Linked DNA regions of Notamacropus eugenii. The protein of the gene in region 2 interacts with the protein of the main gene of each other region in a pairwise test. Links are inferred from orthologs where the notes say so. Each region holds a gene or a part of one and is shown on either strand. Other genes may lie near its edges. The genes, in order: SEC23IP and SSC5D.

Region 1 (14,839 bases), on a different chromosome or scaffold from region 2:
CTCAGGATCTGGCTGGACTAAAATGTAAAATATGAACTTTATTTAGACACTTAAATATACTCTTCCTCCTAATCTACAAACAGATGACATTCCCAACAAAATGCCCAACTCATCTATCCAGTTGAAAAAAAGTTTTAAAATTAACCTGTGATACTTTTAAGTTTTCTTTTTTCCTCAGCAAGAAGAAATAAGATTCAAGGACCACAGCCAGAGAGCAATAAACACTTATTATCATAAAATAATTCAAAAATATATATGGAATTTTTAAAAATAGAAGTGCGACAAAAAGGACATCAGGGTGGTGTAATAGAAAGAGAGAACAGGCCTCAAAAGTCAAACGATTTGGGTTCCAGTCCCACCAATGACTTATACTAGCTTGGTCTGTCATCAATTAAGCTTTCAGTACCCCAGACAACTCTCTTTAAAAAACAAAAAAGAAAGTACTGATATCTTTAGCCAGAGAAATGTTTGTTCCTCACTGGTAATTCCAACTAACTCAAACTAAACCAACTAACTCAAAAGTCCAACTTTTAAAAAATTCATATTGCCCAGTAATTATAAATACCAAATTTTTCAAAAGAATAAAGAGTCCCTCTACATATCAAATACTAAACTAGTAACTCACAAGAATGATCTAGAAAATTATGTCCAAAAAAAAAACTTTCTAGGTCAAAAGTGTTTGAAAGTTTTTGTTTTAAAACTAGAATAATATTCCAAAGAAATAAATTCTTGCTTTATAAAAATCAAATTCTGAAGCCAAATGTCTCTTTGCTACCCTAAAAAGAGGAAAACAACAAAAAATGAATAGATGGATTATATAAGGATTTTTATTTAAACAGTTTTTCTACATAAAATGAAAGATCATTCAACTCAAAACATATACCCCTTGATCAAAAAGTATTACTAACACTTTCCACCTTTAAAAAAAAAAGAGAACCAAGTAATTTGATATTCACAAAAAGTCAATGGAAAAGAAAGGAATAAGGTCCTTCAACTCCAACAGCATACCTAAAATTTTTCTCTCCCTCATCCCACCCTGCCAAAAAATAAAGAAAATTTGTACTTACCTGAATTATAGACTTCTTCAAGATGCACAGAATCAAACATACTGAATGGCAGCCATATTTGTTTGTATTCCACTTCCTTGCAATAAAACCAATGGGGCTGAACTGCCTCATACAGATTTTGGAGGAAAAGAGGAGGTGGTGCTTGTATCACAGGAGCTGCAGGTCTAGCCAGAAGCTGCTGTTGTACTGGTGATGACAAGACTGTCTGTCCTGCTGGAGGAATCTGAAAAGAAAAACCCCATGTCTCCTCCAAGTCTGAGATGCAGCAGCCTGAACTCAGAGGCAACAAGGAGCACCTTAGATACTAACACTTAATAACTGTATAATCACAGTCTCTCAGAGGCTCAGTTTCCTCATCTGTAAAATTGGGATAATATCTACATAGTACTTCCCCCAGACAATTCTTTTAAGGCTCAAATGTAAAGGGCTTTGCAAACTTTAAAGTTCTAAACAAATGTGAAGTATTATTATCTTGGAAATAATAATTATGCACTCTCTTCACACCTAACAATGCTCCTTAAGATCTTCCTAAGGGCCTTATAAACTAGCCCTACAATCAAAGAAGGAAATTTTTCTATCTAAAATATTTTCAAGTTAGAAGCACTAAGACAAAACTGTGACTGAAATCAATTTAGTTACTTTTTAAGGGCATGAAAAGCCTTTCCTCAGGATTTTTGTGTGCTGACATAGCATGAGTGAAATATGAACTTAGTGATGATGCCTGTTTTCCCACACTTTAGAATGAAAACAAAACAAGATTACAAACTAAACTTGATGCTGGTCATCACATCACTTATTTTTGTTTCGGTGGATCAGATACTTTATTCTTTTCATTTGTAGCTCCAGGTGAATTTCTGGAATCAGTTAACAATTCATAATTTTTTTTAATCAAAAATTTTTTTAAAAATCAAAGAGTTTCATAAAAGGTGCAGAAATTTTCTTCCAACAGTACACCATATGATAGAATATTTTTTTTATTTAGATCAAGTACCTATTTAAAAAAACTAAAAGCAGCTATAGAAGTATATATCAATTTTAATAACTAAGGTTTTAAAAATGAAAACTGTACTTGATTATATCCCAAAATATTTGCTCCTGAATATTTCTCATTTTATAAAGTTACTCATACTTTGCATTACATTAAAACTTCTTTTATTTGCAAGTTATTCAGTTTAATCAGTTACTTTAAGTAGTTTAAAGTAATAAAAAGAAAGAATAAATGTAATCATCTTATTTTAAAATTGCTTTTACTACAAAGAATATAGGTTTCACATTTTCTTTACAAGTAATTACCTTGCCAGGTGGATTTCAGAAAAATCTGGAAAGACTTAAATGATTTGAAGATGAGCAAAGTGAGCAGAAATAGGCAAACATAGTACACAGTAACAGTAACACTGTGCAATGATCAATAATGACTGACTTAGTTCTTCTCAGCAATACAATGATCCAAAACAATTCCAAAAGACTCATAACAAAAAATGCTCTCCACATCCAGAGAAAGAACTATGGAATCTGAATGTGGATCGAAGAATATTATTTTCACTTTGTTTCTTGTGGTTTTTCTTTTGTTCTGTTTCTTCTTTCATAACATGACTAATGTGGAAATACATTTCCGCAAATCACATGTATAACCTATATCAGATTGCTTGCCATCTTGGGGATGGGAGAGGAAAGGGAGGGAGTTAGAAAAATTTGGAATTCAAAATCTTATATAAAGGAATGTTGAAATCTATCTTTACATGTAATTGGAAAAAATAAAATACTATTTACCAAAATAAAAAATAATTAACTTTCATATTCCTGCTTTTAAAAAGCACAGAATGTTTGAAATGCAGGATAAGACTAAAAAGAGTGATGAGAATTAGAAGAAGTAAGTGAATTAAAGAGAATTTCTATACCGGTGGCATTGATCCAGGAGGACTTTGATACATCTGAAGAGGTGGTCCAGAGGATGATGGATGGGCAGGATGGTTTGGTGTTTGACATTGCTGCAACTGTGGTGGAGCAATATAAGGGTTAGCTCTGCTGCTGGTAGGGTTATGGCGATATGGATTATATCCTTGTTGTGGTGTTCCATGGGAACTTGCAAAATTAGTAGGTGGGAGACTACTATGTGGAGAAGACTGATAAGCACTGATTCCCATCTGTGAAGGTGGTGCAACACTATAAACAGACTGAGTCTTTGAAATGTGTGATGAGAATGTATGTGGACCATCTGGAGATCCAGTTGTAAGAGGAAGGGAAGTTGGAGGCTTAGACAAAGTTGGTACTCCAACAGGTGCTGCTGCGGTTGTTAATGGCATCTGTCCAATATTCCCAAAAGGATCACTGTTGCTGGATACCTGAGAGAAATAACTAAATGTCTGTGGTAAAGTAGTATGACCAGAAGTCTGACCAAGGAAGCTGTCTTCCTCACCAACATCTGTAGAGTCTTCTGAAATAAAGAATAGAGTAGAAACATAGTTGAGATTAAATTTACCACTTAGTTCTGAAAAAGCATGTGCCATTCTCTAAAACTTACACTGCAAAATATTTCTAATAATGTATCCACTCAGTCAATGAATTTTGAACTGCTGCAATAAATAATTGAAATTATGTTCTTCACTACTCAAACAGCTCTATGGTAATGACATGAAATTCAAATAAATGTATTAATTTTTCTTGACAAGAGTAGATGCAACATTATATTCTAAAACATAAAGCAATTATTCTACAAATGAAAATTCTGCTGACAATAAAATCAAGTGAATTATATTTCCCCAAATCATCTAGTACCACAAATTGATATTTTAAAAACACCAAGTCAACTAGTAAAGTCAATTACTAATAACTAAGGCAGACAAAAATTTAAAGCTTTGAACTATCATTCATCTCTTTGGCCAAGATAAACAGACTCATAGGAAACACCATCATCAATCCCCAAGAAATATGTCCAAAGCCTAAATCCTTCTATACATTCAATCTTAACATAAAGTGAATTGTAACATCAATGATTTTGTCATTTTATACTATTATTATATGGGCTCATCCTATTCCACTCCACACTGATCCATCCTACTCAAATTCCAGCACAAAATCCTCTGCCAGGACCCAGTAAATGTCTATGTGGCTCTAAGTATATTAAAAGATTTTCTACTCATTTCTCATTGCCTTCCATTTTTATTCATGTCACTCCATTCCTCAAAACATTCCAGTGATTCTCAATTGGTATGAGAGTTCTATACCATTTTTTAAAATTTTGTTTTTTATTATTTCAATTGAAAAATATCAACAAATATCAACATTCAAATATGGATATTCAAAGACAGAACAAGAAAGAGGATTGTATATGAAACTGTGAATCTCAATTACATTCAATACAATTCAGGTGTATTATATACAGCTTGCTTTTTTAAAAGTGTATGTTAAATGTACCATAATAATACTAAACTATCATGCCTGTCTTTGTCCCTTTCTGAACTCCCTCATCTGTGTGTAAATTTTTTCTATTAATTTGTCTTTCCAACTACACACTACCTGAATAAATAAAAATGTTTAAAAAGAGAATTAAGTCAATACACACAGAAATGCATAGTCCAGCCTTTCGTTTTATAATCTTTTGAGTTTTTAAAAAATATTTCCTGTTGTGTTTTTTCGCTTGGCCCTTGAATTCAGTTCTTGAATGAAGGTTTTCACTGCATGTTCTAAGATGTCAGTTTTCTATTCCACACTTGCCTCCCTAACCTTCTATTCTGTCACTATTACTTCTTTTCTTCCAGGTATTCCTGGAAATCCCAGTGACCAGCACAAATTTTTTTTCCTGAGGCTTTACCTGGACTTGTGAGGTAGATACTATATTCCTTAGGTTTTATCCCATAGGGATCCCTCAATCCAAGATATTTCTTCATGCTATTTTGAGTTTTCATTGATTTGTTCCACAATTGAATGGAATGGGCAAGGTCTGCCTGGTTCTGAGTATGGTGGCCCAAACTAGACCCTTCCTTCAAGAAACTCTGGACCTCTTCCAGTGCTGGACTCTCATTTTACTCTCTAATCCAATCAACTTCCTTCCTACACTCTATTTCACATGAGAAACAGTGTTCCTTCGGTTGAGTCTTTTCATTCACTAAGTTTGTCAATTACAATCAGCTACAGATAACTATTAGTAACACAAATAACTTGTGCATGAAAAGAACTTCACTACTTATTGAATGTGGGGGACTGGGGAAAGACAGAGACGTCCAATGTTACTTAGTTTCAAATCTTGGTCAATCAGTCAACTAGCATTTATTAAGTATCTACTATGTAACAGGCGCTGTTCACTTTCTTCCTAAAGGTGAAATTACTTCAAGTGCAAATACAAGTATTTAAAAGCTCAAGTTAGTTTTCCAGATATAAGCAGCTGATAACGTTTAGTGATAATGTTTAGTTACACACCACCATTCTTTAACAGGAAGGCAAGCAGAAATATGGTCAATGCACCTCCAAGAGTGATCCGGGGCTTTCGCATTCCATCAATGTCCAAGATCCGGTACCTCTGCCAGCATGGCAAGGTACTGCTGGCTTTCCAAAATGCTTCCCTCCCCAGCCTCCGCCTCTTCGACGCTGAAAACCTTAGTCCTGGGCTACCTACGTCACTGGACCGTTGGCAAATTTTCCACCTAAACGGCTCACAGTTGATGATTCTTCGGAGCTCTCTCCCCCACTTTTCAAAACAGGCTTCCTCCCCTTTCCCCGTAATTACACTCTAACGACCCCCTGAGAGTGGGTAACCCCTTCCTTCCCGCTGGGGAGCACAGAAGGGCGGGAGACAAGACCCCTGGAAACCCACACGGGAACCCTTCAGCATTCACTGGTGGTCCATCCCTCTTACCAACGCGCCGGAGAGGAAGGTTTTCCAGTCCCTTTAAGACTCGTACCTGACTGCAGTTCTCCATTTCTCTAGTGATCCCCACCTCGGGGTGGCCATTCCCCTCCCATGAAGTACCCACTCTTCCTCGGGAGCTCAAATCTCTGCCAGCTCCCCCATGAACACAGCGGGGGGCGGACAAGGAGGAAGAGTTCCGTCGCTCTTACACGGCCCCTCCCCTTCTCGGGTGCCAGCCCCGTGCCTCTCGGAGCGCCCCCTCCCGCTTCGCCGTCCACTTCCACTGCCCACTGCCCTGGGTGCCCATCACCCCACACCCGGCCCCCGCAGCCCTCGCTCCTACCTCCCGGGAGAAGCAGAGAGGCCGGGGAGGCGGGGGCCTGGCTGACAGGGATGAAAGGCACATTGAAGTGGAACTCGGAAGCCGAGGAGAAGAGCAAGTTGGTGCCGGCGGAGGAGCCGGCGCCGCCGTTAGCTTTCTTCTCGGCCATGGCTCCGGCTCGCCTCCCGCTTACACGTCTCAGGCCAGCCGGTGCGGCTCCACCGGCCGGAAACGGGTCAGACGAGGGGCCGGGCTGCTTCCGCATTTGCGCGCTGAGCTTTCCAAGATCAGCTGGCCAGCCCCGTCCCCGCCCCCTTCCGTGCCTTACGGCGGCTCTCTTACAGCACCCCTTCCTGAGCCGGAGTCAAGATGGCCGCCGCGGCCTCACTCGATCGCGAGCCTGGGAGACAGTTGGGGCTTCGAGAGTTCGGGGAAGATGGGTGACGGGCTTAGGGCGAGCTCCGCGTACCAGGAACATTACAGGCGATACAAAAAGTACGTGAAGCAAAAGGAAAGGAAAGCATTTCGAACGTTTCACACGGCAAAGGACAGTTCCGGAACTACTTTGGAGGCGTGCCCCCGAGTGCCCTGGGAGGAGACTAGTGATGTCACTCGTGACGTTGATTGAGCCCCGCCCTTTTGCATAACCCGGAAGGCAGATCTGCCAGAAGGTGGCGCTGTGGAGCTGTGAGCGGTTTATGTTCTTTTCTACGCAAAGGAACCAAACCAGCAGCATTTTTTATGGCAGCAAACAGCTGGAAATGAGGCCAGGGCTCGTCAGTTCGGGGATTTGGCCAGAAAAACTGCTGGACGTGAATGTCATGGAAGAGTATTTGCAGCCACTTAAGAACCAGAGATGGGGGGGCATCAGAGAAGCATCGGAAGATGCACACTGGAGGAAGCAGAACCAGCAAAGGGACGAATATGCAGCATTCCTGGGCAGTGTAGCCAGTACAGTGTACCCTGTGATTGTAAAAAAGAACTAAGGAAATGCCTTCCCTCCTTCCATAAGAGAAGGGCCTGGAATGCCCCCCTCCTTTTGCCCTTGGCTTCCCCCAGGTCTCAGCTCAGATCCCACACTTTGCAGGAGGTCTTTCGCAGTCTTCCCCTTGTACTGTTGAGGTTAGGGAATAATAACGTTGCGGTTTGGGACCCCAAAATGCCAACATCCCAGGTCCTGACCAAATGAATACGGCCAAAGAAAAACAACGTTTATACTGGGTTGACTCTTAAGGAGCCTAAGCATTTGTGACACTTGTATTGACCAGCAGGCCAGATTGAATCTCAGCCAGAGAGAATCAGAGCTAGACTGAATCTGAGCGCCTTCATGGAGATGAGAAGGATCTTATGTACAGAAAGACTGTGGGAGGGATCGGAGGGGGAGGGTCTAGTAGTTTGGGGTGATGGGAGTAGGGATTTAGCGAGGATCTTGATGGGACCCGGGTGACAAGAGGTGAGAACCCAGAGAGGATTTTGATGTGGTGGAGGGTGGAAACAGCTGGAGGTAATTCAGAGGTAACAGACAATAGAGGGCTAGGCTAAGACTTTTAGGTCACATAGAAGAGAAATATCTAGGAATAACTGATCAAATGGACTTCTTTGTCAGTCTGGTGAATCCTATGGACTCCTCAGATTAATGTTTTTAAATTCATAAAATAAAATACATATGATTACAAAAGAAGCTAATTATATTGATACAGCTTAAAATAAAAAAAAAATTTACAGACCGTGCTCCCATAGTCCCAAAACTGTCAGCAATTATTGAGCATTAGTTTTGTATCAAGAATTATTCTTTGTAAAGTCAGAAGGTGTGATTATTCTATACCAAATGTAAGAAATAAGTATTCAGGGCTTGCTGAATAGTATCTAAATTGTACAATTTAACTTTCAAAACCAATTAGTATTTTTAATACTGGCACTTTTATTTCTATTTCTAGCGTTCAAAAAATAGAAAAGTAAAGAAATAGTCACTAAGGCAAATGTAGATACAAAATATTTCCCACAAATAATCTGACCAGAAAGGTCAGAATACTCTAGGGAACATGAAAATGGTTTCAAGGCTTTTTCAAATAGAATCAGATTGTAATATGGCAAACTTGGAACCAGGAATGTTCTAAGGAGCTTAGAACATTTCTGGTCCAGAACCATTAACTCTGGGCTAAAGTAAAATTGTACTGGCCTACAAGTTTCCTATTAGAAAATAATTACTAATAGAGAAGAAAATGACAGTTAAAAGATCTAACTAAATTATTTTTTGTCAAGTCATCTAGGGAGCAGAATATTCTGTTTTTGTACCCCATCCTAATTTAGCCACTGCCTTTCCCCTTCTTTCTATAAATAATAACATTCTCTTTATTCCATTCAGAGTAGAAATTGGAAAAAGGCATAAGTAGTTGTTGATGGAGCAAGATAATTTCTTTTATCTCTTTCCCAGTATATCCCTCCCTTCTGGAAAAGTTAACTGGGCTACAAAATAAAAAGAATTAGAGCAATTCTATACTGATAAAAGAATTCAATGCATTCTAAGAAGAATGTAATGTACCTCTTGGAAAAAATGTAATGCTTCAGAAAGAAAATAAATTAATCATCCTGCCTAACTGCCAGGGCTATGAAAAGGCAAATTAGGGACAATCTCCATTTGTTTAATAAGACACTGGAGAAAACACAAGTATTAACACCATTGGTATAAAGTAATTTTTCAAGAGTCATGTGCTTTGGAATATATAAGATCTTAGGATCATAGATTTAGAACTGGAAGGGAACTTTGAGTCCATTAAGTTCAACCTCATCTTTTTATAGATGAGGAAAACAAAGCACAAAGTGGTTAAATGATTTGTTCCTGGTCATAGAGCTAGCAAGTGTCTGAGATGAAATGTGAAGTCAGGTCCCCTTGACTCCAGAGTCCAGGCCTCCATCCTCCACACCATGCAAATCGAAAAAAAAAAAAATGGAAAAAATCCCTGCCTTTCATATCCAACTTGTTGTCAAGGCCTGTTGATTTCATCTTTACAAGATTCCTCCAGATGGCTCTGAAGGAGAAAGTGAGGCTAGTGACCTTGCACAGCACTCCTTCGCTCAAATCAGTCAACTGCAAGTCATGTTATCATCTTGACATCATGGTCCTCTTCGAGAATGAAGGACAAACAACCTGTGAGGGAATGGCAGCTCCTCTCCCCTCCCCTCCCCTCCTCTATGTCCTGGCCTGAGGTGCTCTACCCAGGGGAAAATACATTTCCAGGGCCAAAAGCTGCCTTTTTTCCTTTGAGTTTACTGACTAGATTTCTTGCTCAAGGACCAAGCCTTAAACCCAATTCACTCTGGAGCTCAATGATTGGACAACAGATCCCCACCCACCTAGCACAGAGTGAACATAAAGATGAAATAATAACTGTTTCTCTTTTACCCAGGAACCCTGAGGGTCTTCCCCTCCCAGTTTGATTCTTTTTTTTTTTTTTTTTTATTAAAGGACGGTCTCTTGAGTAACCACTTAAAGAAGCCCATTCATTGAGTGGGTGTGTCTCAAAGTGAGAATCTGATAAGACCTTAACCTAAAATGGCCAGGGTCTCTGGTTGCATCCTAGGCCATCTCCAGTCATCCTGATGAATATCTGGTCGCTGGATTCAGATGGCTCTGGAGGAGAAGTGAGGCTGGTGACTTGCACAGCCCTCCCTCACTCAAAGCAAAGTCAACTGCAAGTCATGTCATTACCTTGATTCATGGTCCTGTTCAAGAAGGAAAGACAAACACAACCACTCTAGTGCGGACCCTCATCATCTCACAATTGGGCTTTTACAATAGTGGGTCTGCCTGCCATAGTTTCTCTCCACTCCATTCTCCATTCAGTTGCCAAAGTGATTTTTCTAAAATGCAGGTCTGGCCATGTCATTCTGCTACTCAGTAAACTCCAGTGGTTGTCTATCACCTCCAAAGACCATGCTGCCCCTTTCAATATCAGAAAAATTTTTAAAAACTACCAACAATGAAAAAAGGCACTGTTATGCAGGTTTTTCATCTGTTTCTCTGGCTAGTTTTGGTCCAAGTGGCATAAAAAGAGCCTGCACTTTGGTGAAAGAAGAGTCTGGGTGGGAATACAGTAAATCTAGTGAACAGAGAAAAATGCAAAGCTGTAACAAGGCCTGAGGAAGCTATAAAATGCAGTTAATCAGTGCTAATTTTTTGAATGATTTCAGTTCTTAGAATGCACAGTTTATTAAAAACATGCAAATAAAATTTTAAAATCTGATAAAAAAGGAGGGGAAAAAAGAAAGGAAGGTTCTGGCATATTGGGTATGTGGCAAAATTGTGGGACGACAAGTCACACAACATGAATAGGCATGAATGTGTTAAGATCTTTACTATTTAACTCTAAATGAGGAAAATATTGCCAGGCACTGTGTTAGGTGCTTGGGATACAAAGATAGAAATAAACTAATTCCATTGCTAAAGAAGTTTACATTATACTAGGGAAAACAACATGAATAGAAATAGCATTGGAATAAAAGGGAAAGAACATTGGCTTAGGGTCAGAGAACCTAAATCTGAAGCCTGCCTCTGATTCATGTATCCTTGTTACTTCAACACTTCTGTGCCTCAGTTTTCTCATCTGTAAAACAAAGGAGTTGGATTCTATCAGGGTGGGGAACCTACGGCTTTGAGATCACATGTGACCTTCTAGGTCTTTAGGTACTGACTTTTGACTGAGTCCAAGCGTTACAGAACAAATCCTCTTAAGGGGATTTTGTGAAGTTTGGATTCAGTTAAATGGCCGCACTTGAGAACTTTAGAGGGTCACATATGGCCTTGAGGTCACAGGTTCCCCACCCCTGGATTATATGGTCTCTGAGGTCCCTTTCAGCTCTAAATCTATGATCCTACAAAGAAAGCAGAAAATAAATACAAAGTAATTTCCAGGGAGTAAAAGAAGAGGCCACGAAGAGGTGGTGAGAGCTGAAGTCCTATTCTGAACAACAAAAATCCTGGTTCTTTTTGGCTCAGTCAGCAGAATGAAAAGTCTGGCCAGTACTCTCTAGACAGAAAGGAAGTGACAGTTGTTATAATCATCATAGTAATAGCTATCATTTACATAGTTTTAAAGGGTTTTAAAGTCCTTTTTACAAATCAGAGCCATTTGATGTTGGCTAAAGTCTAATCTAGCTAACTCCAGAAATATGCTTTCTTGGGTTAATTGTTAGGTGACAAATATTCAGCTGAATAGCTCTTAAAAGATTATCTGTGAATTTGTAGAAACATGAGGTATGGTGTACCTTAGCAAAATTAAGGGATCAGTCTCTTGGGATTTTTAAAGTCACTTCCCACCCCTACCATTTGGGTGATCAAAATCTCACAAGAAGTCTAAATGACATCTAATCAAAGGCATTCATTCATTCATTCATCTAACAAGCATTTGTTGAGCACCACTTAAGTATCAGATACTGTAGGTACTAAGACCATAATAGAGGATGGTCACCATCAAATAGCCCACCTTTAAAGGCATCCTTCTTTAACCTAGTCAAGGTGCCTAGGCTTTTTTCTGCTCAAATTTTCACTCACTAGGACTTTAATATATGTGTTTCTATACTTAACATAAATGTGTATTTAACATATTATGTGAATATACATGTATGTGTATATCTAATGTAGAATATACATAGTGCATAGTGTTGCACAGCATATAAGCAGAATGAGTATATATAAATTAGTGTATGTATCCGTATAGAGAAATATATGTATATATATACACATACATGTGTGTGTGTTTGCATATAAAGTGCAGGACTTCACAGCAATAAAAATGAGCCTTAATTAGATCTATTCTAACTCAGGTTTGCCATCTATGTAGCCACCCGTGAAATCTGTCTTCATTCCAGACCCCGACAAGGCTGTTGAGGAGCTTCAGTCCCTGCGTCCTTTAGGGTCACCAGCGGCCGAGGGCAGCTGGAGGCAAGCCCTGACTGCTGGACCTCCCTGTCACTAGTTCCAACGTATGGGAGGCAGGTTTCAGAGACACCAGGAGGCAGCTGGCACTGCCCAGGGCTCCTGAGAACGTGCCCGGCACTCGCGCCTCTGTGGAAGGAGCGCTGCCTCAGTCTCCCACTCTGTAGATGCGAGCTGCTTAATCTTCCCAGAGTCACAGACAAGCCTAGGGACCCCTACTCGCAACGGCCAGTCACGTCAGAGCCTGAAGGCTGGACTGAGCTGGAGGGGCTACAGGAAGGGGGCCTGCCTCTGGTGCCCCGGACGGTGGCCGCTCCAAGCCCCGCCGCGGGAGGAGGAGGCGCGGGGAATCGAGCTTCTGCCGCGGCTCTCCCCAGTCCAGCCCCGCCTCGCCAGTTTGCCCTCCTTTTCTGACCTTTTCCAAAATGGCGGCGACGGCGACGCCGCCGCCAGGGCCCGGAAGCCCCGCCCCGCCCCGCCCCGCCCCTCCTCCTAGCGCGACCGAATGCACTACCGCCCCCTCCCCAGCTCGCGCTCGGGGGTCAGAGGCGACGCCGTCGGCGCGTCCGTTTCCCGCCATAGCGTAGAGGAAGGCGGGGGGCGAGGGGGGCTCCTGGCGCTTCCGCCTCGTAGCTGCCGCCGCCGCCGCTGCCGTGGTTGCTGCTGCCGGGAGCGGGGCGAGCCCGAGGCCGGGCGGTGTCGCTCCGTGACCGCTGCCGCTTGCCCGGCGTGGGCGTGGGCGAGGGAGGGAGCGGCCGGGGGCTTGGGCCGACCCCGAAAGGAGAGGAGGAGGAGGAGGCGGTAGGACGTGCGATCGTTCCCTCTGCCCGCCGCCGTCGCCCCCGGAGCCCCGCTCGGGGCAGCCCGCTCCGCGCGCCCCTCGGCAAGATGCCGTGTGGGGACGACTGGCTGAACCATCCGCTCGGCATCGTGCAGGGCTTCTTTGGTGAGTGGGGGGCGCCCCCGGGAACCCTAGGTAATTCGGGGGAGTCCTTCCTGCCCGGAGATTGAGGAAGGGGCGACCCGAGCGCCCCCTCCCCCGCCACCCGGCGGGCGACCCCCCGGCCCCGGGGCCGCCGCACGGTTCGGGCTGCCCCCTGCGGGGGGCGGGGAGCGGGCAGGAACTTTGTCTCCCTTCCCTCCCGGGCCCCCGGGCCCCCAGACCCGGAACGTGGCCCGGGACTGGCGCAGGCCGCAGCGGGTGCCGTCGGGCTGGGCTGGTGGGAGACGGGGCGGCCGGCCCGCGGGTCCTGCACGGCTTTGCCGTTTCCTCTCCAGCTCGTTTTACAGAAGAGGAGCTGGGGCAAACGGAGCTAAGTGACTTGCCCAGGGTCCCCCGGCTAGGATCCCAGGCCACTCTTAAAGCCAGGAAGTGGAGTCTTCTTTACTCCAGCCAGGCATTCTGTCAGTGCTCTTGGGAATCGGGTAAAGTTGAAAAGGACAAAACCGGTGTGAACATTCTGCGGTGCCACAGACGGGGGCAGTGGTCGTGAAGAGAGCGGGGGCTTGTGCGAGGACTTAGGCTCAGGGTCCTGGGGAGACTGAGACAGGGTTTGTAAAGCAGCATGTAATGCCAGCTATTGCCTGGCTCACTGAGGACGTCCTTTATCGGGCTACTTCAAGAAGTAGGAAGTAAATTTTAGAAATAGTAACTGACATAAAACCCGCAAATTTGGAGATCTTGGGGGATGGAGGAATGTTGACCATTTATTTACTTTTAATTTGCGGACAACTAACTCATTTTCCCAGTCTACGACAGAATAGAAGCAGGAAACCATCACCATCTCCACGTCTCTGAGGGGCACTGACAACAGGGAGACTTAACAGCTGAAGTAAGGGGAGAAGCAAGAAATCTATTTTAAAACTGACAAATTCAAAGTAGAGTATTTGAGGCCCTTTCATGAAGGAACTTGTTGTCTTAAGCTTTTGGATCTCTAAGAGTCATTCCAATAAAGAAGTGTAATAGTTGATATTCTTAATGGTGATCCTGAGTAATTAAAGCAAAAGTTAACAGATTTATCTTTAGCATGCTGCATTTAATTAGAGAAGAAAGTGTGTGTTTCATTTTAGGATTTCCACCAAAAATGGGGTTTGTTTGTTTTTTAAGTTAGTCTTTAAATGCCTTATACAAATTATTTATTTGTATACACACACATTCTTCAAGAACCTATTCTTGTGTGTGTGTATAATATACTTATTCTCCAGGATTCTGGATAAATTAGATTGGTTACTGTGTACCAGAGATTTAGCTACACTTTGCTCAAATCATTTTGTCTTTGTCACACAGAGATATGCATTTCTCATAGCATAGTAAAGCATACAGTGTTGATATATGGTGCCATCAGCTTTATAACAGGGTTCAACAGTGTTTTTAAAATTCCATGGATTATTTATTGTGTAGCGGTTATGAATAATACAGTACTCATGCTTATTGGTCTTAGTATGTTAATAAATCAAAAGCTGGATTTTTTTGGTATATTTTGCAGTTAACACTATTGAAGGATGGCAATTTCACAGTTCCTTCTTGTGCTGTGATAAAACATTGCTTCAGTAATAGATGTTTGCTAACGTAGATAATGTGGCATGAGAATAATTAGGTATATTTCTAGTCAGTCTCTGGACAGGAGAGAATTATTTTTAGTAATGAGTGCCTAAATATAGAGTAACTA
Region 2 (14,865 bases):
GGAGTGGCAGAGACAAACAACCATGAGAGAGTGGAGATGGGGGAGGGGAGGTGCCAGGGAGGCAAGCTCCAAGGAGGACTGGGGGTGGGGGAAGGAAGGGAGCTGGGTTAGAGACAAAACAAATGCTCTCTCTGAAGTGAGACAGACAGATACATAGAGGGGGCACCCCCAGGGAGCCGGAGGGACAGCAGACTGCCCCCCCATGGGGGAAGGCACTGGGCAGGGGAAGCAGCCATAGCCTGTGAAGAGCCTGCACTGCCTTGGTCTTCTCTGGGGTGTGCTGGGATGGGGGCCAAGAGGGGATGGGCCTCCCACCTCTTATGGGGGTTTCTCTGGGCTACCTCACTTGATGCCTGGGAGGTCTGGCCTCAGTGTCCCTGAGATCCCCTGGCTACGTTATTATAGGGTCTCTGGGCTTTCCCAGGTGTGTCGCTGCGGGGGGGTCTCTGGGCTCACTCTGGTCTGTTCTTGTGGGCACGCTCAGACCCCAGTGAGGATGGGCTCACACAGCATAGGATCTCTAGGGCGTGCTCTTAGGAGGTGGCTGGGGCCCAGTTAGCACCGTCAGTCCCATCTCTGGATTGGCCCTGCTCCTTACCTGGATCTCCAAGGTCCTGGGGTGTCTCAGAGGTGAGGTCATGGCTGGGAGCAGCTGTTGTGCGGGTTCCCCAGGTCACATCCCTGCGAGAGCTGGTGTCCCAGGCCCAGGGGACATCACTGTCATCCTCCATGTCTCCTGTGGGGATGGATGGGGAGATTCTGAAACTTCAGGCTCCCTGGGGGGCCAGAAGACCCATTTGTCAGGACTGCAAAGCCCTGTCCTTCCTCCTACAATGACTGACCTCAGGAGCCTTCAGGTTCCCAGAGCCCTTAGACCCAGGTTCCTGAAGAAGCCACAGTCCCCTGCTGGTCCCTCCCAATGGTGCCCAGGCTCTGCATCCACTAGTGCTCTCTCTCTCTTTCTGTCCAACTTCCTCGTTCTCTCCATTCCTTTCATGCCCTACCCCACCTCACTGCTCCCTACACTAGCCCTGGGTGTCTGGGCTCCCTGACACTCTAGTTCCCTCGGATCATGGGATCTGCCGGGATCACAGAGCCATTTTTTCCCAGCCCATTCTAGGTTTCTTGCCTTATACCTGTGCAAGTGAGCCCTACATCTTCCTGGTGCTCACAGTTGTGGATCCCCCAGGGCGAGGCTGGACAGTCCGCTAGCGAGGCCTCGGTGCCCACACAGGCCACATCATCCAGCCAGATGGGGCCTGTCCCAGATCCATAGTAGGTTTTGCCGACGCGGGGCCGTATCCCACCACAGCCCAACTCCCGGCAGGCGACAGCTGCATCTCGGGGGTCCCAGCCATCATCACACACTGTTCCCCACACGTCTCCACGCCACACCTCCAGCCGTCCGGCACACCGATCGGGCCCATCGGAGAGACGCAGCCGAAGGAGACCTGACCATGGCCACATGGCAAGGCTCAGTCCCACCTGTGGACCTCTCTCCCCAGCCCTCTTTCCTTCCCTCTACCAGCCCCTCTACCTGCTCTAGCCTTACCTGTCTCTCCAGAGCCTGGCCAGGTCTGGGGAGAGGACAAGTCTTTTGGGGTGCTTGTGGGTAAAGTCTTGAAGGCCCCCCAGCTGGTCTTAGCCCCTGGTGTGGAAGAACCTGGGTCTAAGGAGATTTCAGAGGAAATCTCATCTTGATCCTTTGGGGTTGCTTCCTTGGGGCCTTGAGTGCTTAGCTGTGGGATGACCTGGGAAGGTTGTCTTTGTAAGGACCAAGTGGTCAGCGAGGGGCTGGCCGAAGATGTCACTGGTATGCTCAGTAGTGTGGTCTGAGAGGGCAACAGTAGTGAGTCCTGGGAGGTCTGACCTCTGGGAATCTGAGTGGTTGGTTTGGGAGAGGCCTGGGGGGTCCGGCCTCGGGGTGTCTGTGTGGTCAGTTTGAGGAAGGCCTGGCCTTGTGGAACCCGAGTTGTCTGCCTTCTTGGGACCTTAGTGGTAGACTGTCCAGGTGGTCGCACTGTTGGTTTCCGTGGTTTCTTCGTAGCCCACTTTTTGGAGCTATATGGAGTCCTCCCTGGTGGTTTGGCCACTGTTGTTCCAGGGCTGCTAGTGGTCAGCTGGGTGGCTATGTTCCCTGGATTCTCAGTGGTCCACTTCCTGATGGGCCAGCCCCGTCCATTCCCACGTGGCTCTGGGGCCCAGCTCCAGCTGAAGAGGTTTGGGACTGAGTCAGGCCCGAGACTCCCTGGGGAGAGAAGGCAGGGGCCAGGTCACACTCCTGATTGTCCATAAAGGTCCCCTCCAGGAAAGCTCCTTGGGTCTGTTCCTCCAGGTGTTTCTCTTAGGTTTGGCCAGAGGACTGTGTGCCTCTCCCTCCTTCCCAGAGCCCTTTTGGGAGAACTTCCCAACTCTTCCAAGGAGTCTTCCTCAATTTCAGAAGGGAGACTTCTTTCAGTAAGCCCTCCAGATCTGGGGAAAGAGATCCCTCTTTCCTAGAAGCCCTCCCCAAGTCAAGAAGGGAGGCCCCCCAGTCTAAAGAAGCCCTCCTAGCCAAGGTAGGGGAGACCCCCAAGAGTGTAGAGGAAGGAACTCTTCCTCTTCTCCTCCCTCCACCCTTCCCCAAGAAACTCCCCAAGATGATGCTTAGGAGGGGTAGGTAGGGCTGGCCCTGGGGGTAGGGCTGCCGGCAGATAGGAACACCTTACCTATACAAGTGATCCCCACATCCTCATTATGGGCACAGTTGTGTTTCCCCCAGGGGGCTGCAGGACAGTTGGCCAGCCGGACCTCAGTCCCACTACAAGCCACGTCATCCAGCCAGATGGGGCCTTCCCCCCAGCCGAAGCGGCCAGCGGCCGGACCCGGCTCCTGGGGGACACCACAGCCTAGTTCTCGGCAGGCCACGGCAGCATCTCGCACATCCCAGCCATCATCACACACAGTCCCCCAGCGACCACCATGCCACACCTCTAGCCTCCCAGCACAGCGGCCTGGCCCAGATACCAGGCGAAGGTGAGGGGTACCTGTGGGAGAGGGCAGAGGTCATGAGCAGCCTGGGTGGCAAGGCCCAGTGATAGAACTCCCCTCCAACCCATTCCCTACCCACAGTGATAGGATTGAGACTTATAAGGGACCTTTGAAATCATCTAATTGAATCTCCCATTGGACAGATGGGGAAACTGAAGCCCAGAGAGAAGAATGGCCTGTTCCATGACTGAGTCTGTGACCTTTGACTTTGGCTTTAGCCTCTTTGCTGGATTAAAGAATCCCTTTTTTACTGTCCTGTTCTGAGCATCATGACTCATACAGCCTGCCCAAGAGAAGTGTGCTGTTACCTGAGCTGGCACGTGACCTGAAAGCCCAGGCCTGGGTTTGGTCGCCACTTACTGGATGCATGGTCTTGAGTTAATGATTGTCCCTCTCTGAGCCCCCTCCCCTCAGACAAGGAGGATGATCTCTTGGATCCTGCCTTTCTCTGGCCCTTGGCTTCCTCACGTGTGAAATGAGAGGTTTGAAGGATTGCTTTCTGGGTGACCTAGGGTGAAACCCTCACCCTTTCTGGGCAGACTGACCTAAATGCAGCACCAACTCTCCAGTCTGAGAGCAGGCTCTGGGTCAGGGGGGCAAAAGACTCAATTGTCAAGGTCTTCAGTCTCCTGGTGACCCCTCAGGAGGACCCAATGGCCAGATAACTGCATTCCCCACCCCAGGAAAGCAGAAGCCCCAGGGGTCAGACTAGCTTCTCACTCACCCTCTTTAGGGCCTGGTTCCCGCAGGGTCGTGGCAGAGGCAGGAGAAGGCCCACTAGTGGGGGCCTGAGTCTCTGGGGCCCCGACACTGCTGCTGCCTGGGGTGGGCAAGCCCAGAGGCAGACCTGGATAGGGGTGAGACATGATAAGGAAGTCACTACTGAAGCCACTTAGCCAGCTTTTCCTCTTCCCTACTCCCCCATATCTGTGGAGTGAATGTGGGGAAGAGATATGTGGGGGAAAAAGAAGAGTCTATAGGGAGAGAGTTGGGGCAGGGAGGAGAGTGAGGAGGAATAGGAGGGGGAGAGAGAAGGGTCGGTGGGGGAAGGGATGGGGGAGGGAAGGGTCACTGGGGGAAGAGATCCATTCCATTTCTTTTATTGACCTAGGTACCAGTAGACCAGGAGAATAATGTGGCTAGGTAGCTAAGCATTCCATCAAATACCTCGTACTGTTCTTGTAGGCTTAATGCCCTGGACTGTCTGAGTCACTTTTATTTTCTTACATTTTCCATGAATCCAGTAAAGAACTCTCTTTTATAGTCAACCCAATCTTATCATGAAATTGTACAGTTAGCTGAATTCAGAACTAGTTGAATGGCCATTGATGTTTTCTAACTATTAATATTTTGATGTTAGCTCGGCAGGAGGTGCCCAATGCAATGCTCCAGGGATCTGTGCTGGGCTGGATTCTGTTAAATACTTTTATCACCTAATGGAATAAGGGCGAAGATTCCAAATCATCTAACTCAGAGGAGACAGTGAGCTGCGAGTGTGCTCTCTATCTCTCTCTGCATCTGTCTCTCTGTCTCTGTCTCTTCCCCTCTCTCCCTAAAACGTCGGGGTCTAGCAGCTTGCTGACTGCGTCAAACACTGAGTAGAAGGTGAAGTTTAAGAGGAGTAATTACAGTTTTGCACTTGAGTTCGAAAGATCAGTTTCACAAGTAAAAAGTGGAAAGGCACAGCCATGCTACTATTCATCTGGAAAAGATCAAGGGGCCATAGAGGGCCACAACTTCATGGCAGGAACTGCATATGGCTCGATTAAACTTTAATTTAATATGAGTCAGTATGATGTAAATGGAAAAGAAAGCTGTGTGGAAGGTGACATAAAGGAGGACTGTTCCCCTGTTGCCCTCCTCCCTTCCCACCTGGACTTCAGCAATGGCCCGATGGGAAGACTGGCTGCTTCTAGTTTCTCCCCCTAAATGCATCCTCCATTCAGCCACTAACATGATCTTCCTAAAAGTGCGGGGTTGACTGGGTCACTCCCCTACTCAATAAACTCCAGTGGCTCCCTATGGCATCCACGGTCAATTACAAAATCTCTCCCCACCCTTCCAGTTTCCCTACACTTACCCCAGCTCATGCACTCTTCCTAGGGACCCCAGCCTCCTATGTCTCCCTCTCTTGGCTCTGGGCATCCTCTCTGGCTTTCTCCCATGCCTGGAGCATTCTCTCTCATCTCAGCCTTCTGCTTTCCCTGCCTTTCTTTAAGGCCCTTCTAAAATTCCAGTTTCTACAGGATGAATCTTCCCCCACTCTGAATTCCTTTGTTGTTTCCTATTTATCTTTTTTCTCACTTGTCTGTCCACCACTGTTGGTGCATTGCAGACTGTAAGATTCCGGAGGCAGGAATGGTCTGCTGTGCTTTCTATCTAGCGTCGTGGCTGACACTTAGTAGGTACTTAAAAAAAGTTGACACTCTGACGACTTCGAATATTCGAAGCACCGTCATGGAAGGCAGGCTAGCCCAGTGCTTTGTGGGCAGGGCTGCAGAGGCAGAAGAGGCTCAAGGTGGAAAGTGGCCCAGCGTTGGGAGCTGTCCAGCAGTGGAGACTGCTGCCTGGGGAGGTGAGGCTCTCCCCCAACAGTCAGTCGTGGTGGAGGAGTGGGCACTCTGTTTGCCCCTGAAGAGTCTCCCATGTCTGGGGGCCCTTTCCAAGAGGGGGAGCTGGGGGCCAATAGAGCGAGGTCCACAGGCACCTAGAGTAGGGTGCATGGGGTGCCCAGGGAGATGACCTTGGCCATGGTAGTGGGGGTAGAGAGGGGCTCTTACCATCACATACAGCCCCTGCGTCCTCTCGGTGGTGACAGTCATGTTGGCCCCAGGGGCGGGCTGGGCAGAACCCCAGGGATGTCTCATTCCCCTTGCACCGAAGGTCATCCAGCAGGATGGGTCCAGTCCCCTCCCCAAAGAAGGCCCCTCCTGGGGCAGCAAGGGCACCACCACAGCCCAGTTCTCTACAGGCCACGGCAGCATCCCGAAGGTCCCAGCCATCATCGCACACTGTCCCCCAGCGGCCCCCGTGCCACACCTCCAGCCGCCCAGCACAACCATTGGGACCCCCCGCCAGGCGCAAGTGGGGGGCTGGACCTGGTGTGGGGAAAAGAAATAACAAGGGTCAGTCTGCACTATTCTCCTCTATGTCTCCAACACTGGGACTGGCCTGAGTCCCCCAGCTTAGCTCCTCTATCTGCTCTCCATGCCCCTAACTCTCCAAACTTGTTCCCTCTCTGTGCTCCCATGTGCCCCTGTGGCCCTAGCTGCCTACTCTCCCCCTGCCCATCCTAGTCAGTTGGTGTGGAGGGAGGGGAGAGACTAGGAAGAAATTGAAAAGGTTCCAGGGGGCTTTGAAGGTCAAGACCTGGGGACCCCTGATGTCCGTGCTCATCAATCTGTTTTCCAGTTTTTCCCTTATCTTCCTGCTCATCAGGAAGGATGAGGATGTTGCGTGGGGTTAGAGGCAGGACAGGGGTGGGCAGCACCCAGGTGAGGGGCTGAGGCTGTGCTGGGGTGAGGGGTCTGATAAGTCCTCTGAAGAGATTCTAGAAATGGTAGAGGTTGGGGTCGTCCATGAACCCCTTCCCTTACAGACTAGAATGTCAGGGTGTGGAAAAGACCTTATTCCTGTTATATGATATGCTAAAACATATAGCAATGGCAATAAAAAAAACAGAGCCCCTCAACACTGTCTGGTCCAGCCAGTTCATTTTACAGATGGGGAAACCGAGGCCCAGATCATGGAAGGGACCCACTCCCAGGCAGGCAGTGGCAGGGCCAAGGAGAAAGGAGCAAACACAGGATTTTCAGCCCCGAGGGCTGCTTTGGGAGCCCTGGGACTCACCTTCGCAGACTAGTCCGGCATCCTCTGTGTGGTCACAGTTGCTTCGTCCCCAAGGGCTCCGGGGACAGTCCTGGAGGGCCTGCTCCCCTCCTCCACAGCCCACATCATCCATCCAAACAGGACCTGACCCTTCCCCAAAGCGGGCCCCTCCAGGGGCAGCCAGGGCTCCCCCACAGCCCAGCTCCCTGCAGGCCACAGCAGCATCCCGCAGGTCCCAGCCGTCGTCACACACTGTCCCCCAGCGGCCCCCGTGCCACACCTCCAGCCGCCCAGCACAGCTGTGGGGCCCCCCTGCCAGGCGCAGATACTCTGCAGAGGAGGGACTCAGTGAGCCAGGCCTTCATCTAAGCCCTCCAGGTGCCTGGGTCCCTGAGGGATTGGGGGCCAAGAGGCAGAGGCTTGGATCCCTGAGGAGAATGGAAGCTGGGGGCTGGTAAGCCTGGGTGGGCCATATGTTCTGGGGAGCTCCACTCCTGGGTGTCAAGGGCCAGAGGGCTTCACCTGACTATGCAGAGGACACCTGAGTCCCTGAGGACAGTAGGGAATGAGGAGGCAGATCTCCAGATCCCTAAGACAGGCAGAGGGTGGGCAAGGAACAGGTGCCTGGATACCTGAGTCTCTGAGTGGGGTGGGGGTGACCATGAAAATAGCAGGTCATGTAGGTAGCCTTTTGGGGGCTGTACAGTGGGTACAGAATCAGCTGACATCAAATGAGGCAGGAACCAGAGAGATGGACATGTGGGTCCTGGGGGCGGGGGAGGGGCTAGGGAGTTGGACATGTGGGTCCTGGGGGGAGGGGCAAGGGGATTTGGACGCGTAGGCCCCAGGGAGTTGGGGCAGGCAGAATGAAGGGAGATAAGAAGTAAAGGTATCCCCCCACTGACCTCATGAACATTCCTAATAGTACCCAGATGTAGTTTTGGCTGCGGACTTGGGGGGGAACTAAACTGGAAATGAAAAGGTGGAGGGGGGTGAGGGGAGTTGGCTCTATCTTAGAGGGACATGTGGGGGTGGTCACTCACCCTGTCGGAAAGCACTGGAAGTCAGCAGAGGGGCCCGGGTGGCCTTGGGCAGCTTGGGAGGCCGAGGGGCCTTCTGGGGGCTGCTTGTCGGGTTCCCAGCTAGGGGAAGGGTGAATGAGGGAAGGGGAGGGGAGATGTAAGCGTCAGGCTCTGCAGATTCTGCAGGGGGAGATCTTGGGGCCTCACCTGGGGATGTTGGGGAGCTCTCAGACCACAGCTCCCGGTCCAGGGGCTCTGTTGAATCCGACCTTGAGTTGGTTGCCCGCTGACCTGTAGGGAGTGGGCAGATTTGGAAGAGCTTAGTGGTGTTTAGTGGGGAGGGCCCTGGGAGTTCCAGTGCCAGGCTTCCTAAAACATAGTGTTAGGTACTTTGGGGTCCCATGCCAGAGTTCTTGGATACTTCCATCTTGGAGAGGGTGAGGATTAGGAAAGAGCAGGACCCTGGAGGGCCGGGGACTGGAGCTCTTACCTACACAGACGAGGCCAGCGTCCTCCTCGTGGGAGCAGATGTGGGCCTTCCAGCCTCGGTGACGACAGAGGCCCAGCCGGCTCTCAGACCCACGACAAGCCAGCTCACTCAGCCAGACTGGCCCGATCCCCTCTCCAAAGAAAGCTCCTGCTGGGGCGGCCAGGGCTCCTCCACAGCCCAGCTCCCTGCAGGCCACAGCAGCATCCCGCAGGTCCCAGCCGTCGTCACACACCGTTCCCCAGCGCCCCCCGTGGCGCACCTCCAGCCGCCCGGCACAGCCATGGGGGCCCCCAGCCAGGCGAAGCCGCTCTGCCGAGGGGGGTCCAGTGAGGAGGGACCCTCATCTAGCCCAGCAGTATCCCTAGGCTTTTGAGGGGGCCTGGGGGCACTAAATACTTGAGCTGCTGAAGAGGCAGATAGGAGTCCTGGAAATCTTTATCCCTAAGGAACCAGGGGCTGGCATGCCAGTCCCCATGGATGCCTGAGGAGAGTTGAGGTTTAGAGAGCAGACACCTGAGATCCTGAGAAAAGCTAGGTCAGTGAGGGGAGCAGGGCCTGGGAGACCCAAAGGCTGAGTCACTGAGGGTTTGAGTTCAAGGTTAGAGAACTGAGCCGGGCTAGGAAGCTGGATGCCTGAGTCCCTGTCCAAAGAATGGGTTGGAGGTCCTGGGGTGCTGAGAGGGTCTGAGTCCCTGGGATGAGTAGGGCTGGAGAAGCACACGTTTGCTGGGTGGCTGGACACTTGGGTCCCTGTTGGGGAGGGGGCCCAGGGATCCCACACTCCTAGGTTTATGATGGGCAGGGTAGAGACTCGGGGCTTCTGAGGGAGTGGCTGTGTACTGGGGAGGGGGAAGGCTGGGTTCCCATGAACAAAGAATGAAGAGCCTAATGTTTGGAGCCCTGTGGTCTAGCCCACAGTATCCTTGATGCCTGTATCCCCAAGACAACCAGTGAGGGAAGGGGAGAATCCAGTGAGCTCCAAAGCTAAAGCCCAGAGGTGGAGTTGGGTGGTGACAAAGGGCATGACAGGGAAGGAGGAGAAGGGGACTCAGAAAAGACTCACCCACAGCCTGAATCCCCATCAGAACAGCTGGAAGAGAGATGAGGGCGATAAGGTGAAGGTGGGGAGTCCTTGCCCCTGTCACCGCCTCAGAGGAGACACTCAGGGATCTGGGTTAGGTATGAAGCTGTGTAGGGCCTTGACAGGGTCGAGCATTCACAAAGCAGTGGGGAGAGGGTCTGGATTCCAGGTTTCTGAATGGGGATGCCTGGATCTCTGAACCCAGTGGGAAGGACCTGAGGAAATGGAGCCCCAGTCCCTGGGAGAACAGTTCAGAAAGAGGAAGGGACCTTCAACCTGGCTTCCAGGAGAGCCTAGATGTTTGGACCCTTGATGGGGATGAGACCTGGACACCACAGGGAACAAAGGTCAGTGACGGTGGAGGCTGCAGCTGACTGGGCTCTTGAGAAGGGAATAGGGAACAGGGAACCCTATTTCTGGATCTTAGAAGACAATGGGGGACAAGATGCCATCTGGACCTCTCTTGGAGGAGGGTGGCAGACTGCTGGATCCTTTTGAAAGTAATGAAAACTAAATGTTTAGGATTGTGGAGAGTAGCCAGAAGAGCAAAGTGTATGCTGGGGGCTGGGACTCCTGGGTCCCTGAAGGGGAGAAGCAAGGACTCCCAGATGTCCAGGAGGCAGGGGCTGGGGACCAGGACTCTTGGGTCTCTGAAGGGGAGAAGCGAGGACTTCCAGATGTCTAGGAGGCAGGGGCTGGGGGTCAGGACCTCTGGGTCCCTGAATGGGAGAAGTAAGGACTCCCAGATGCCCAGAAGGAGCTAGGGTCAGTAGGAGGCAGGGGTTGGGAGCAGGGACCTCTGGGTCTCTGCGGTCACTCACCAAGGAGGTAGGCCAAGACCCTCATCTCTGCAGAGCCAGCCCCTAGGACCCAGGCTGGGGGGGCTGGGGGACGGGGGGGAGCAGACGAGGTCGAGGAGGCGGAGGCAGTAAAAGCTGAGGGGAAGTGCCGGCAGCGCCCTGGACTGAGGAGGGGCGGGCAGGCGGGCGGGGGCTGGGGACACGCCGGCACCAGGAAGGGAAGAGAACAGTGGAGGAGGCAGCGGGGGACCAGGAGGGGGCTGAGGAGGCGTGGGGGAATGGGGGGGGGGGGATTGGCTGGCCCCAGACACTTCGGGCGCTGGGCCGGGAGACCTGCCAAAAGGGGCTGGAGCAGCCTCTGGCCCTGGAGCTCTGCCTCAGTGGACCTCCCTCTTCCCTCGGGTCCTTCCCTCTGGGTGTCTCCCACTCCTGCCTATCTCTCCAGGTCTCTGCTCCTGTCCCACCCTCACTGTTTACCACAGCAGCCCCTCTGCTCTGCCCTACCCCACCATCCATGCCACTAGGGGAGAGGGTCAGTTGATGTCCAGATAATGGTCCAAACCACAGGGTTCAGCCTCCAACCAACAGTCACTTGTTGAGACAAGAAAGAACTGCAGGGCTGGAGGGTAAATGGCCAGACCCAAGCTGCAGGTCCCTGTCCGAAGGCGGGGGAAGGCCAGGCTGCCCTGAGATAGCCCCAGGATCGAAGGGGCGGGGAGAGAGAGTGGCTTGGTGGGGCCCAGGCTGGAGGGGGAGGAAGGGGAGTGGGGCGGGGGCAGATACTTGGCCCCCAAGCTCAGCAGGCAGATGTGGGGTGGAAAAAATGTGCTAATGGGGAGCGTGAGTCATCAAGGTTGGCAGGGGATGGGCCCTGCAGCCTGAGCTCATCTCAGCCTGCCTGGGGCCTGGGTCTGGGGTCTGGGGCCTGGAGCACCAGTGGCTCAGAACTCCCTCCCTCCCCGAATATTAATGTGGCTCCAGGGCCAGACAGGCCTGGAAAAGGGGGCTGGAGGACCTGGAAAAGGCATCACAGCAGAAGGGAGGCAGGCAGTGGGTGGGAGTTTCAGTTTATTAACAATGGGGATAAAAACAGATGTGAGGGGAAAGGAGGAATGGGAGGGGAGAGAGAGACCCAAGGCAGAGACGAAGGGTCATCTCAAGGTGTGGGGGAGCCAGGGGGTCACTCTGTGGGTCCTCAAAGCAGAGGGGAGTCATCCTGGTAGCCAACTGATGGAGAAGGGAGTCCAACCCCACGGGACGGTCCCCAGAAAAGGGGAAGATCACTGATGGCGCTTGGTAAAGGATCCTGGGCAGGGTGCTCTGGGAAGAGGGAAGTCTTGCTCAGAGGGGTCCAGTGAGGCTAAAGGTTAACTGAGGGGGGCGAGAGCAGGAGATCCTGTGTTTGCAGGGGCCTTCAGTGAGTCTGAGGGAGGGATGTCTGAGAAGGAACTTCTGGGAGGAAATGGGATGAGAACCTTGGGAGATCTTGGCAGGGCACAGAACCACAGAATAGTTGGGGTCGGAGGACAGAGCTACCCAAAGGCAGTTGGAGGCTGACTGCCTGAGGACCCCCACAGTGGACAGGGGAGATATGGGGGGTCATCAGAGAGTCACTGGTATAAAAAGGAGCAGCCAGAGGATGGGCCAAGGGTGATCCCCCACATTTAATCCTGTGAGGTGGGCAGTGCAAGTATCCTTTCCCCCAGTCCTTAGGGGGTGATGGAGACCCAGAGGGAAGGACTAGGCCAGGGTCATGGACTAGGCCAGAACCAGAGCTGAGACTTGAAAGCATACAGGTGTCCCGGATGGCTCCATCCTCCCTGAGCCAAGGCCAGGTTGCGGAGAGGACACAGTGGGCATTAGAATTCTTTCGTAAACTCCCTCACAAATATGTGTCCCATCCAGCCCCAGCCCCCCTCAGGATGGTAGCCCCTTCCTTCCAGGAGGGCAGCGGCTCCTCGGGCTCCTACTGGAGCAGGAACTATGAGCTTTGCTCTAGGGCCCCCTGCCTGGCGGGCCCATGCCTGGGCTCGGGCCTCAGCGAAGGCCAGCAGCTTCGTGGCCACACCACGTCGACGGTGCCAGCGGGCCACGGCCAGGCGAGCTACGGACAGGCTGCTTCCACTGGTCCCGGGCCTCAGGGCCAGGACCCCGCACACGTCATCAGTTCCCCACACTGCCACCCAGGGGCCTCCTAGGCCAGAGTCTGAGGGGAGTGAACCCCATCGCATCCGCACCATCAGCTTGAGAGCAGCCACAGCCAGGGCGACGGGCAGAAGCAGGGCCAGGGCGAAGGAAGCCAGGACAAAGCGGAGGCCACTGCTGGCAGCGGCCAGGAGCAGAAGGGCAGGGGGCCGAGTCAGGGCATGGAGGGCCACGCGGTTCTCTGTGTCTTTCACCCCATCCTGAGGATAAAGGGGCACAAGTCAGGGGTACAGAGAGAGATGGCACTCACTGGTGGGGATCCTGGTGGGGAGGGGCTGATGGGAGAAGGCTAATGAAGACTGGGAAGGGGCACAGGCCAGGGCTGGTGAGGATGCCCTCTGAAGGATCCGCTGGGGACAGGGCTGGTGGGAATATTCAGGGCGCAGATCAGCCAGTCATCAGGTTTTAATGAAGCACTTACTATGTGCTAGACTTCAGGCTAAGCCCTGGGGAGATTTCTGGAAGGGAGGGCTTTGGGAGGGACCCATAGTAGGAAGCCAAGGTGGGAGGGAGAGAAAAATCTGCCTTTGGTTCATTGAAAATAAGTTATGTAAAAATAGTGATGGGGAGTTCCTGGTGAACTTGGGGGGTGGGGCTGGGTAAGAGCCAAATTTGGGGGGTGGGGCGGAGATCATGGTAGGTATCTCAAGGGAGGCAGAAAGGTGGGGAAAGGCCAATGGGAAGCTAGAGGTGGATGAGGTTGTGGAGGGAGCCTGAGAAGGGGTGGGGTGGGCCCCCGAGGAGAGACCTGAGGAAGGAGCAGTGAGCAGCCTGGTGGAAACACTGGGGGCCCTGGGGGGAGGGGATAGCTGGAATGCTAAGGAGAAGAGCTTTTGGGGGGAAAAGAGGCCTAGGTCCAGGCCAGTGGGACTGAGAAGGAGAGGTTCCTTTTTCCTCCTTAGGTCTGCAGGAAACGGCTTTCTTCATTCTCCTCCCGGCTCAGTCTCCTCTGCCAAATTAACTGTCCCATCCCAGGATCTCTCTATGGCCTTCCATACCTCATGGCTCCCTCCGGGCCCCCCCTTTCCCTAGCTCTCTCGGCCTCCTCGTCAGCTCCCAAGGGTGCAACAATCATCCCTACACCAGAGACCCCGAGTCCTCAGGCTAACCTCAGTGTCTTTCCTGATTGTCAGGCCTGGATGGTTGACTCTGTCCATCCCATGGGCATCGAGTCTGACATGTCTAAAGCATAACTCATCTTTCCTGCTCTATGACCTCACTCGGGGATCTCTTCTGCTCCCATGGATTCAATGGCCAGCTAGAGATGCCTGGGATTTCCAGATCTATGTATCCAGCCTGAAGCTCTCTGCTCCCATCTCCAACCCCCTCACAGAAACCTCGACTGTAAAGGTCAGACATCTTTACTCCACAAGCCCCCACAGAGCTCATCATCTTCTCTCCCCAGCCTTTCCCCTACTACCTTCCCTATTACTGTGGAGAACATCATTATCCTCTCGGGCCCTCAGGCTTAAAAGCTAGGTGACATCTAGGATTCCGTACTACTTATCACCCCCATATCCAAGTCCTGGCCAAGGTCTGTCCATTTCACCTCCTCTGCATCTCCCCAATCCACTCCCTTCTCTCCTCTGACCCTGCCCCACCCTGGTGCAGGCCCTCACCCCCTCATGCCTGGACTGTGGCAACAGCTGCTGGGAGGTCTGCCTGCCTCTGTCTCTCCCTAAACTCCACAGTCCATCCTCTCTTCCATCACTAAAGGGATTTTCCTGAAGTGCAGGTCTCATCATGTTACCTCTCCTCCTTAATAAACTCCAGTGGCTCCCTATTGCTTTCAGCATCAAGTGGAAAATGCTATTTAATTTTTAGAGCCCCACCTCCACCTTTCCAGGCTTCTTACACCTTGTTCTTCTCTATGTAGAGGCAGCAAAGGTGGCTGGGTAAGGCACTGGGCTTGGAGTCAGAAAGACCTGCGTTCAAATCCAGCTTCAGATAATCATTAGCTGGGAGGCCCTATTTGCCTCAGTTTCCTCACCTGTAAAATAAGACTAATATCTTTGATTCCTAATAAGGATCAAATGAGATAATATTTGTCAAGTACTCAACTCCACACCATACAGAGGCCCATCCCTGTCCCTTCTGTGTGATTGTGTTTCAGACAGGCCAGCTCCCCTCTCTGGTCATTGTTACTGGCTGTCTCCCAGGCCTAGAGCTCTCTCCCCGCTTCCTGGCTGCTTCCTGGCTTCCTTCACATCTCAGCTGAAGCCTGACTTTCCCCATCATCCTCCACCTTGGGCCTTCCCTCTGGGATTACCTCCAGTCTCCTGTTGGTACCTCCTTGTTTGCATCAAATGGTGAGCTCTTAGGACAGGGAATGGGGTTTTTCTTTCCTTGTATACCTTGTATACAAGCCTGGCAACATGTAGCAGCTTAATAAAAGCATGCTTACTTGAT

Evidence for each region.
Region 1: the proteins of SSC5D (region 2) and SEC23IP interact in binary tests that used the Homo sapiens proteins (3 or more experiments, as listed by UniProt). The two-hybrid records come from large-scale screens. The link is inferred for Notamacropus eugenii from reciprocal best matches to the Homo sapiens genes SSC5D and SEC23IP.

What each region holds. Positions count from the first base shown.
Region 1 is NC_092872.1:200,042,655-200,057,493, reverse strand, and holds the start of SEC23IP (SEC23-interacting protein), read right to left. Parts: upstream 6,531-14,839; 5' UTR 6,501-6,530; coding exon 6,257-6,500; intron 3,502-6,256; coding exon 2,966-3,501; intron 1,291-2,965; coding exon 1,068-1,290; intron 18-1,067; coding exon 1-17. Other genes in the region: MCMBP (mini-chromosome maintenance complex-binding protein), read left to right, coding at 13,059-13,116. UniProt on the Homo sapiens protein: Plays a role in the organization of endoplasmic reticulum exit sites. Specifically binds to phosphatidylinositol 3-phosphate (PI(3)P), phosphatidylinositol 4-phosphate (PI(4)P) and phosphatidylinositol 5-phosphate (PI(5)P).
Region 2 is NC_092876.1:18,059,917-18,074,781, reverse strand, and holds the start of SSC5D (soluble scavenger receptor cysteine-rich domain-containing protein SSC5D), read right to left. Parts: upstream 10,521-14,865; 5' UTR 10,298-10,520; coding exon 10,273-10,297; intron 9,541-10,272; exon of another isoform or gene 9,461-9,540; coding exon 9,434-9,460; intron 8,680-9,433; coding exon 8,371-8,679; intron 8,172-8,370; coding exon 7,902-8,171; intron 7,189-7,901; coding exon 6,880-7,188; intron 6,129-6,879; coding exon 5,811-6,128; intron 3,878-5,810; coding exon 3,755-3,877; intron 3,027-3,754; coding exon 2,709-3,026; intron 2,249-2,708; coding exon 1,553-2,248; intron 1,452-1,552; coding exon 1,137-1,451; intron 737-1,136; coding exon 599-736; intron 1-598. Other genes in the region: NAT14 (probable N-acetyltransferase 14), read right to left, coding at 12,415-12,656.